2 linked regions of the Mus musculus genome follow. The protein of the gene in region 1 purifies or fractionates together with the protein of each later gene. This does not show direct contact. Links are inferred from orthologs where the notes say so. Each region holds a gene or a part of one and is shown on either strand. Other genes may lie near its edges.

Region 1 (3,511 bases):
GCTCTGAAACCTGAACAGAATCAGAAAGGGCTGGGGGATTATTTAGCAATCTAGATCTCAAGGCTTTGCAAAATCCTTCCTATAACAGACCTAAAGAACTATTGCACAGTCTTTTTTAGGAAGCAAATTATGCGTCATGTCTGGCCTACTACCTCATGTTTGGTTGGCATCATAAAGGTTCAGGCCTGAGACTCAGCATGTACATACTAAACCCACCTTCCTTTTTTTCAGGAAAATACCTAAATGTGGTCAGAGAGTGTGGTCATGATGTCACCTGTCCCGTAGCCAAAGAAATCATCTATACCCTTAAAGAGCGGGCATATGTGGAGCAGATAGAGAAAGCGTTCAATTATGCCAGCAAAGTGCTGCTGGACTTCCTCATGGAGGAGAAGGAGCTGGTGGCCCACCTGAGGTTGGACTTCACTTTGTATCCATGGGGCTGAAAGTAGAATGCTCTTCTTAGCAACTACATTTTTTATCTCTCCACAGGCTCTCTGCAGCCTCAGTGTGAGGTGGCAGGGTCTCCTCAGTTCTCTAGTTCTCAGACCGTACAAGCCAACAGGTCTCTCAGCTCCTTGCTGTCAGTCCCTCCTCTGCCATGCCTGAGCAGAGCAGCCCCATGTCTGTCTGAGAGCTGCCAAACCTCTGTATGATGTATGGTGGAGGCAGGGTCAGGCTATATGTTCACCAACCCTGACACAGGTCCATCAAGCGCTACTTCCTGATGGACCAGGGGGACTTCTTCGTGCATTTCATGGACCTGACTGAGGAGGAGCTCAGGAAGCCAGTGGAGGACATCATACTCACACGCCTGGAGGCCCTGTTGGAGCTGGCCCTGCGAATGAGCACTGCCAACACTGACCCCTTCAAAGACGACCTCAAGGTGAGCAGTGTTTACCATCATGGCACCTCGCTTCTGCAGCATGGGAAGAGCACAGCAGGCCCAGTCAGGGTGTCCTACCAGGCGTTCTTCCTATGTCAGAGAACACTGGCTTACGAGCATTTTGTTTAGGGGTTTGTGTCTGGACTCACAGGAGGCACCGCTTTGTACTTTTCCTGTGAGTTTGGTCCATGCCGGTGTCAATAGGCCGACGGAGCGTAGGTGGGGATACTGCATGAGCGCTCCGTTTCATGCGGGCTGTGATGTTTCCCGCGTTTACCCTGGCGTTGCCATCAGCAGGGTGTGTGTCTGCTGCCGTGCAGTGCAGAGAGCTGTTCGGACTTCTAAGGCTGGCAGGAAGAGCCCCCTTCATCTCTGAGTTCAGTGGTTTGTCTTCTTTTCTCCCTCATGTATCTGAAAGCTTGCTAGTTCCCCTGATGTTTCTAAGACCTCGATCTTGGTTTTATTACTTTCTTCCTTATATTTATTTCTTCCTTTTTCTTCTGTGTTTCTATCAACCTGTTGTTTCTGTTAGCTTTGAACTTAATTTCTGTTCATAGTTTCTTGAATTTTAAAGTTAGGCTATTTTAGCATGCTTTATTTTCTTTTGTTTCAAGAGATTCAATGAGAGCTGGAGAGATGGCTCAGTGGTTAAGAGCACCGGCTGCTCTTCGAGAGGTCCTGAGTTCAATTCCCAACAACTACATGGTGGCTCAACTGATTCTATGATTTCTTCTTTCTTCTTCTTTAGTGATTTGTTTCCATTTAGTTATAAATGTTCAGGATTGTCTTCTGTTGCTTAGGGTTTTTTTGTTTTTGTTTTTAAATTTTCTTTATTTTATATGTCTTGCCTACACATGTATGTGTGCAGTGCCTGTGGAGGACAGAGGAGGGCGTGGGTCCGTGGGAACTGGAGTTACAGGCAGTTGTGGGCCACTGTGGATGCTGTGTGGCCACTGTGGATGTGGATGTGGATCTGAACCCGGGCTCCCTGGAAGAGCAGATCTCCAACACTGTTACTTAGTTTTCTAACTTCACTGTTTTGTATGCTTTTCTTTAAGATTTATTTATTTATTTTATGTATATGAGTGCATTGTAGCTGTACAGATGGTTTGTGAGCATCATGTGGTTGCTAGGAATTGAACTCAGGACCTCTGCTCGCTCAGGCCTCGCTCGCTCTGACCCAAAGATTTATTTATTATTATAAATAAGTACACTGTAGCTGTCTTCAGACGCACCAGAAGAGGGAGTCAGATCTCATTATGGATGGTTGTGAGCCACCATGTGGTTGTTGGGATTTGAACTCAGGGCCTTCTGAAGAGCAGTCAGTGCTCTTAACTGCTGAGCCATCTCTCCAGCCCTTAGTATAAGTTTTATAACATATCATGATGGTCCTGGGATTCTACATGGGTTCTTCCTGTGCTCGACAGGTCTTGGATGGTTCTTAGTGCTGTGCACGCAGCTTCCATCTATTACTGAGAGTAAGGCTGAGGCCCCACTGTTCTTGTAGATCTTCGTTTTCTTTGCAGTTCTGTTCTTCATTTCATGTATTTCTGGATCTCTTATTAAGTGTAGGAGTAATTTTGTAGGGTTTATTATTCCTAGTGGCAGTCTGTGGCCTGATCATCCAGGCAGAACATACAAGGTGCTGGCTGTGGGGCAAATGAGAGTCATGTCTGCGCACCTGATGTCCCCATCTGTGTTACGTTGACAAGCAGGATGAGAGTGGTCTACGTGCCCATGACTGTTAGGAGATGGTGAGCGCTTGCTTTGTTCAGGAGCTGTTTGTGCTTTTCCTCATTGATTCTTTATGCTTTGTTTTTTTTCCTGTCTTTTATATTTTTGTCTTTGTGGACATATATTTAAGTCTTATAGGAACCCTTAGCAAACTGGCATGTGGTTGGCTTTAATAAGTATTTAATAGTTAATGTTGTAGACAGTACTGTTTGTCCATAATAATCACTGTCATGAATCTCACCAAGTATGTGTCAACTTCACAGGTAAAATAAAAGGTCTTCACTCCTATGGTTCCTCACTCATAATAACAACAGAAACATTTAAAATGTTATTTTAAGGGCCAGAAAGAAGGGTTAGTCATTCAAAGTTATCTTGGGTTTCTATTGCTGTGATAAACACCATGACCAAAAGCATCTTGGGATGGGTTCATTTCAGCCTACAGTTCTACATCACACTCCATCGCTGAGGGCCGGAGCTCACACAGGTCAGGAGGCAGGACACAGAGGGATGCTGCTCACCACCTTGGACCTCATGGCTTGCTCAGCCTGCTTTCTTATAAAACCTAAGACCAGCAGCCCAAGGGTGTTATCACTCACATTAGCCTGGGTAACCCCATATCAATCACTAATTAAGAAAATGCATCACGGACCTGTCGGTAGGCAAATTAAAGACATTTTCTTGAGATTCTCCTTTTCCAAATGACTCTAGTTTGTATCCGTTTGACAAATCAGCCAGCACAGGAGTGTTCGCTGCTTTTGCAGAGGACCTAAGTTTGGTTCTCAGCTCCCAACTTGAGTAGCTTGTGTCTTGAATTCCAGTATCTAATGCTCTCTTCTTACCTCCACAGGCACCAGATATATACATTTTACATACATACATACATACATACATACA
Region 2 (4,298 bases), on another chromosome or scaffold:
CCTCCTGGGCCATTTGTGTCAGACCTTTTGAATAGTGTTCAAGAGGACAGTTGGGTGTCTTGAGGTAGGAAACCTTACAGTGCTGGTGCCAGGGGAGCTGCAGGGAGCTGCTGGGAATTAGGCCACTGTCTAAACATCATAAGTCTGGGGAAATTTGCCTTTGTAATTTTAGTGTATCTTACATGTTTGGAACTTTTGTCTGCATGCATGTATGTGTACCACGTGTGTGCCTGGTGACCATGGAAATCAGGAGAGGGCATTATATCCTTTAGAAATGGCATTATGGGTGACTGTGAACAGCCATGTGGGTGTTTCAAATGGAACCTGGGTCCTTTGCAAGAGCAGCACGTGTTCATAACTACTGAGCCATCTCCCTAGGCCTCTTTGAATTATATATATATATTTTTACATTTATTTACTGTGTGTGTCTACATGCATGTACATACATGCCACGGTACACTTGTGTAGATCAAGACAGCGTACAGGAGTCAGTTTTCTCTTACAGTGAGTCCCAGGGGTCAAATTCATAGCATCAGGATTGGTTACTGCAAGTCCCTTTACCCGCTGAAGCAGTTTTGGTGGTGGTAGTTTTGTTGTTGTTGTTGTTGTTTTAGGATTTTGTTTCGGTTTTGTTTCTGTTTTTGTTTTTTTCCTTTGAGGCAGGCTTTCTCTGTGTAGCCCTGACTAACCTAGGACTCACTATGTAAACCAGACTAGTTTCTAACTCACAAAGATCCACCTGCCTCTGCCTTCCAGCTAAAGGTGTGTTCCACCATGCCCAATTAGCCCTACTTTAAAAAAAAAGGTATTGTAGAAACCTTTTAAGATTTAATTTTTAAAATTATATGTGTGCATGCATGAGCACACTTGGGTGTGGGTGCCTACAGAGTCTGAGCCCCTGAAGCCAGTTACAGGCTATTCTGAGCCAACCAACATGGGTGCTGGGAGTTGAACTCAGGCCTCCCATAAGAGCAGGTGGTGCTCTTAACCACCAAGCCACTCTAGCCCCCAGCCCTGCTTTCTGCTTTTAGCCTTTATATCGCTATTCTTGTCTCTCAGGACCACTCTGTGGCCCACATACCTTCGCTCTGCGCATGGTAGGTTTGTGCATAAGCTAAGGGCAGCCAGCATTCCCAGGTCCAGGAAAGGATAGTCCAGCCCACATCCACATTCACAGACACGGTCTGACCCGAGCTGCTGCTCCTAGGCCCTCTTTCTGTATCTTTCCACTCTCCTTCGCCAGGATGCCTGCCTGGCCAGCCTGGAGATGTATTTGCTCCAACCATCCCCCAAGCTGCCCCACAGGGTGCCTGCCTGGCTAGCCTGGACTTATATTTGTTTCATCAGCTCAGTATATCAGCTCAGCACAGGGCGCTTGGGTGCCTGCCCTCTGCCCCACAGAGCAGCAAGCAGAAGGCTATTAGCCTTGCTGACAGCCAACCCCAGAAGCAGCCTCTGTCATGTGTTTTCTGAAAATCGAAACTAGGTGAGGTTTACAAAGCATTTCCTGGGACGAGGCTGAGGAAAGCCACATGGTGGAGCTTTTCTCTGCTGAACAGTCTACAGAAGGCTTCCAGTTGCAGCCAGGAAGGAGGCTCCAGGACTGCCTTCAGCCACTGCCTCGCTGCCTGAGGGACAGTTGAGTCCCTCTCTTGCTCCCAGGTGAGTCTCCACTCTACACAGCATGATTTCTGGCAGGCCAGAGCACAGGAGCCAATACAGTTGGGCAGGATGTCCACTGAATGAACAGCTGAAGGGGTGAGTGGGTTAGAGTTTATCCCCGGCCCCCTCCTGGGTCTGTAGATTCTCTCCCAGGACTAAACCTACCTACTCAGTGGTACTGAATGAGCCAGCATAGGCAGGCTTGTCCCATCTTCCCACACAAAGGAGTAGGGCAGAAACAGCCTCTGTCATCCAGTGGACAGCAACATCCACATACACTGCAATGTTCCCAAGGCCTAGAGCGCCTGACCCAGCATGGACAAACCTACGACCACAGTTTATAGTAAATGCAGGGAGTGGGCACCCAGTGCAGTTTGCCTGGGACTCAGGTTTCCCAGAGCCCAGGCCTTCTTGGGATAAAACTGGGGTAATGCCTTGCCACACGGATGTGGGACTCTCTGGCTCCCTCCACCTCCACCAGGGTCCTTGTGGTAGAAGGAGGCCACCCCTGGGCAGACCCTAACCTGTGCTCACTGGCTGTGTCATCTGGAGTCAGTTGGCTCTCTAGCTTCGGCTCTCATTAGGGATGTGGGAACTTTGTGAGTTGTATATTGTTCTGGGTCTGTGCTTGACTAGATGCAGAAGTCTGGTGGGAACCAGTTGGGGGGTGGGGGTGGGGTGCACAGAACTAAGGGCCAAGTCCCACCCATCAGTGTGTTATAGGACTCAACGGTCAGAGCTTATGCCCAGAAAGCTCCCCTGATAGCCAGACTCAGCCACCCATCCTCCATGGTCCAATTAAAAACATAACAGTGAAAAGCCGAAAAAGGAGATTTATTTAATGTGGCCACACTAAGAGGAATCCAGTGGCCTCCCCCATTAATGGCCCAGAGTCTATTAGGGGATATTAACATGAGGTTTACATAGAGGTATACATAGCTAACTGGCTTGCCTGGGCTGTAAATCCCAGAGTGAGCTGTTATTTCCTGGAGACAGGCTTCCTCTCTGGCTATCACCAGGCAACAGCCTTCTCCTTTCAGCGTGAGACTCCCGGGGAGTTCCAGTTCTGCTGTTGCTTCCGCAGTCGGATAGCCAAAGCCTATCCTAGGATCTCTTCACCCCTGCCAAGATGGCTACAAGTGCCCTGGCCCCCTGAGGGCTTGCTCGTGCTGCTCTGGTGCAGAATGTCTGGGGTGGGGGTTGGTCGGTGGGAGAGGGCTGGGGAGGGGCCAATCCTGGTGCTTCTACTGGACCTGAAATATCTCTACTGCTTGTCTCTGGGCCCCTGGTCGGAGTAACAATTTGTGGCTTCCAGTTCCTGCCCAGGAGACAGAGCTCTGTAGCACCATCCACTACCAGTCCCAAGCTGCCTGCTGGGCCTAGAACGAGTCCAGAGTCCATTGAGGCTGCTGCATTTTGTTCTGTGGGTTGCCCCGCTCCTTGCAGGGCCTGAGGGACAATGCCTGGGTGGGGCACATCCTACATACAGGCAAGAGTCTAAGTATTGAGTCCTGTGTGTCAGCACCGTGGTGGTTGACCCTGACCCACATCCCCAGGTCACATCATGAAGTCCCAGACCCTTCTACACTGCCTCTGTCACTTCCCCTTGAGAGTTCCAACCTCATCTACAATGTCCTCACAGACTGGCAAATCTTGTCCCCTGCACACCCCAAAGGCAGCTAGCTACTACTTACAGATAAGGCCAGCTAAAGATAAAGAGCTCTTGTTTGCTTCCTGGGTTCTCGTTGCCAGGAGCCCTCAAGCCACTTGCCTCATCTGGGGACTCTTGCTGACCTGAAGGTTGTCCTGCAGAGCATGTGAGAGAGGCCTGCATGAGAGCCATCACATAGCCATCTGGGCCTTACACAAGAGTACCACCCACAACACCATCCCATCCTCTACAAATAGGACAGGGAGCCATGGAACTGCCAGTCTCCTTTGGAGAGCTGTTGCCAGTCTAACTTTGTTGTTCTTTCTGCTGCAGGGTTGGGCTTCTAGGCCAGGCAATGGCTCTCCTGTGGCTCCTCTCTGTGTTCTTGCTGGTTCCAGGGACTCAAGGTGAGTCCTGCCCCACGAAAGGTCCCAAACGCCTTGTTCTGTGGGTTGTCCCCCTCTGCCTTGCAGAAAAGCTGCATGGCAACCTGCAAGGAGCCATGTCTCAGGATTCTCTCCCATGTGGCTCCTCTGTCATTCTAAATGGTGGTGGCGTATGGCCCCTGGTGCTCCCCCGCACCCAAGTGAAATGCAGGTATTGAAGAAGAGGCCAAGAAATTTTTTCTCATCTCATCAGTGGGCCAAGGAGGGAGAGCACAGCCCGTGCTGTCCTGGAGTGTGTGTGGGGGGGTGTCTCAGGGCACAGGTTAGGGTGGCAGAGAGTCCCTGGGGGGGGGGGGCAGTTCACACACTGCACTGTGGGTCTGAGAGCCTTGTCCATCCTGGACCGTCAGCTGAGTATCCCTCTCTAGTATGGGTGACCCCAATTCAAGCGCCCAGCTGGCCCTGTGAGCATGGGCAGAGACGGGAGTTCCAGAGAAAGGAGAGCAGGACTGTCCTGGCTGCCTGTGCCACAGTGCAGACTGTCTCCAGTCCAGGATTGTCCGCTTTAGGCAACCACTGTAGGGGTGAGGTGGGAACTG

What was found. The genes of interacting proteins can lie anywhere in the genome.
Region 2: the proteins of Tubgcp2 (region 1) and Lgals3bp purify together in Homo sapiens (affinity purification with mass spectrometry; 3 studies listed by BioGRID and IntAct, counting the BioPlex papers as one, with this or other methods). This does not show direct contact. The link is inferred for Mus musculus from reciprocal best matches to the Homo sapiens genes TUBGCP2 and LGALS3BP.

The regions. Positions count from the first base shown.
Region 1 is NC_000073.6:140,002,171-140,005,681, reverse strand, and holds part of Tubgcp2 (gamma-tubulin complex component 2), read left to right. Parts: intron 1-231; coding exon 232-412; intron 413-702; coding exon 703-883; intron 884-3,511. UniProt on the Homo sapiens protein: Component of the gamma-tubulin ring complex (gTuRC) which mediates microtubule nucleation.
Region 2 is NC_000077.6:118,399,150-118,403,447, reverse strand, and holds the start of Lgals3bp (galectin-3-binding protein precursor), read left to right. Parts: upstream 1-1,488; 5' UTR 1,489-1,662; intron 1,663-3,646; 5' UTR 3,647-3,668; coding exon 3,669-3,720; intron 3,721-4,298.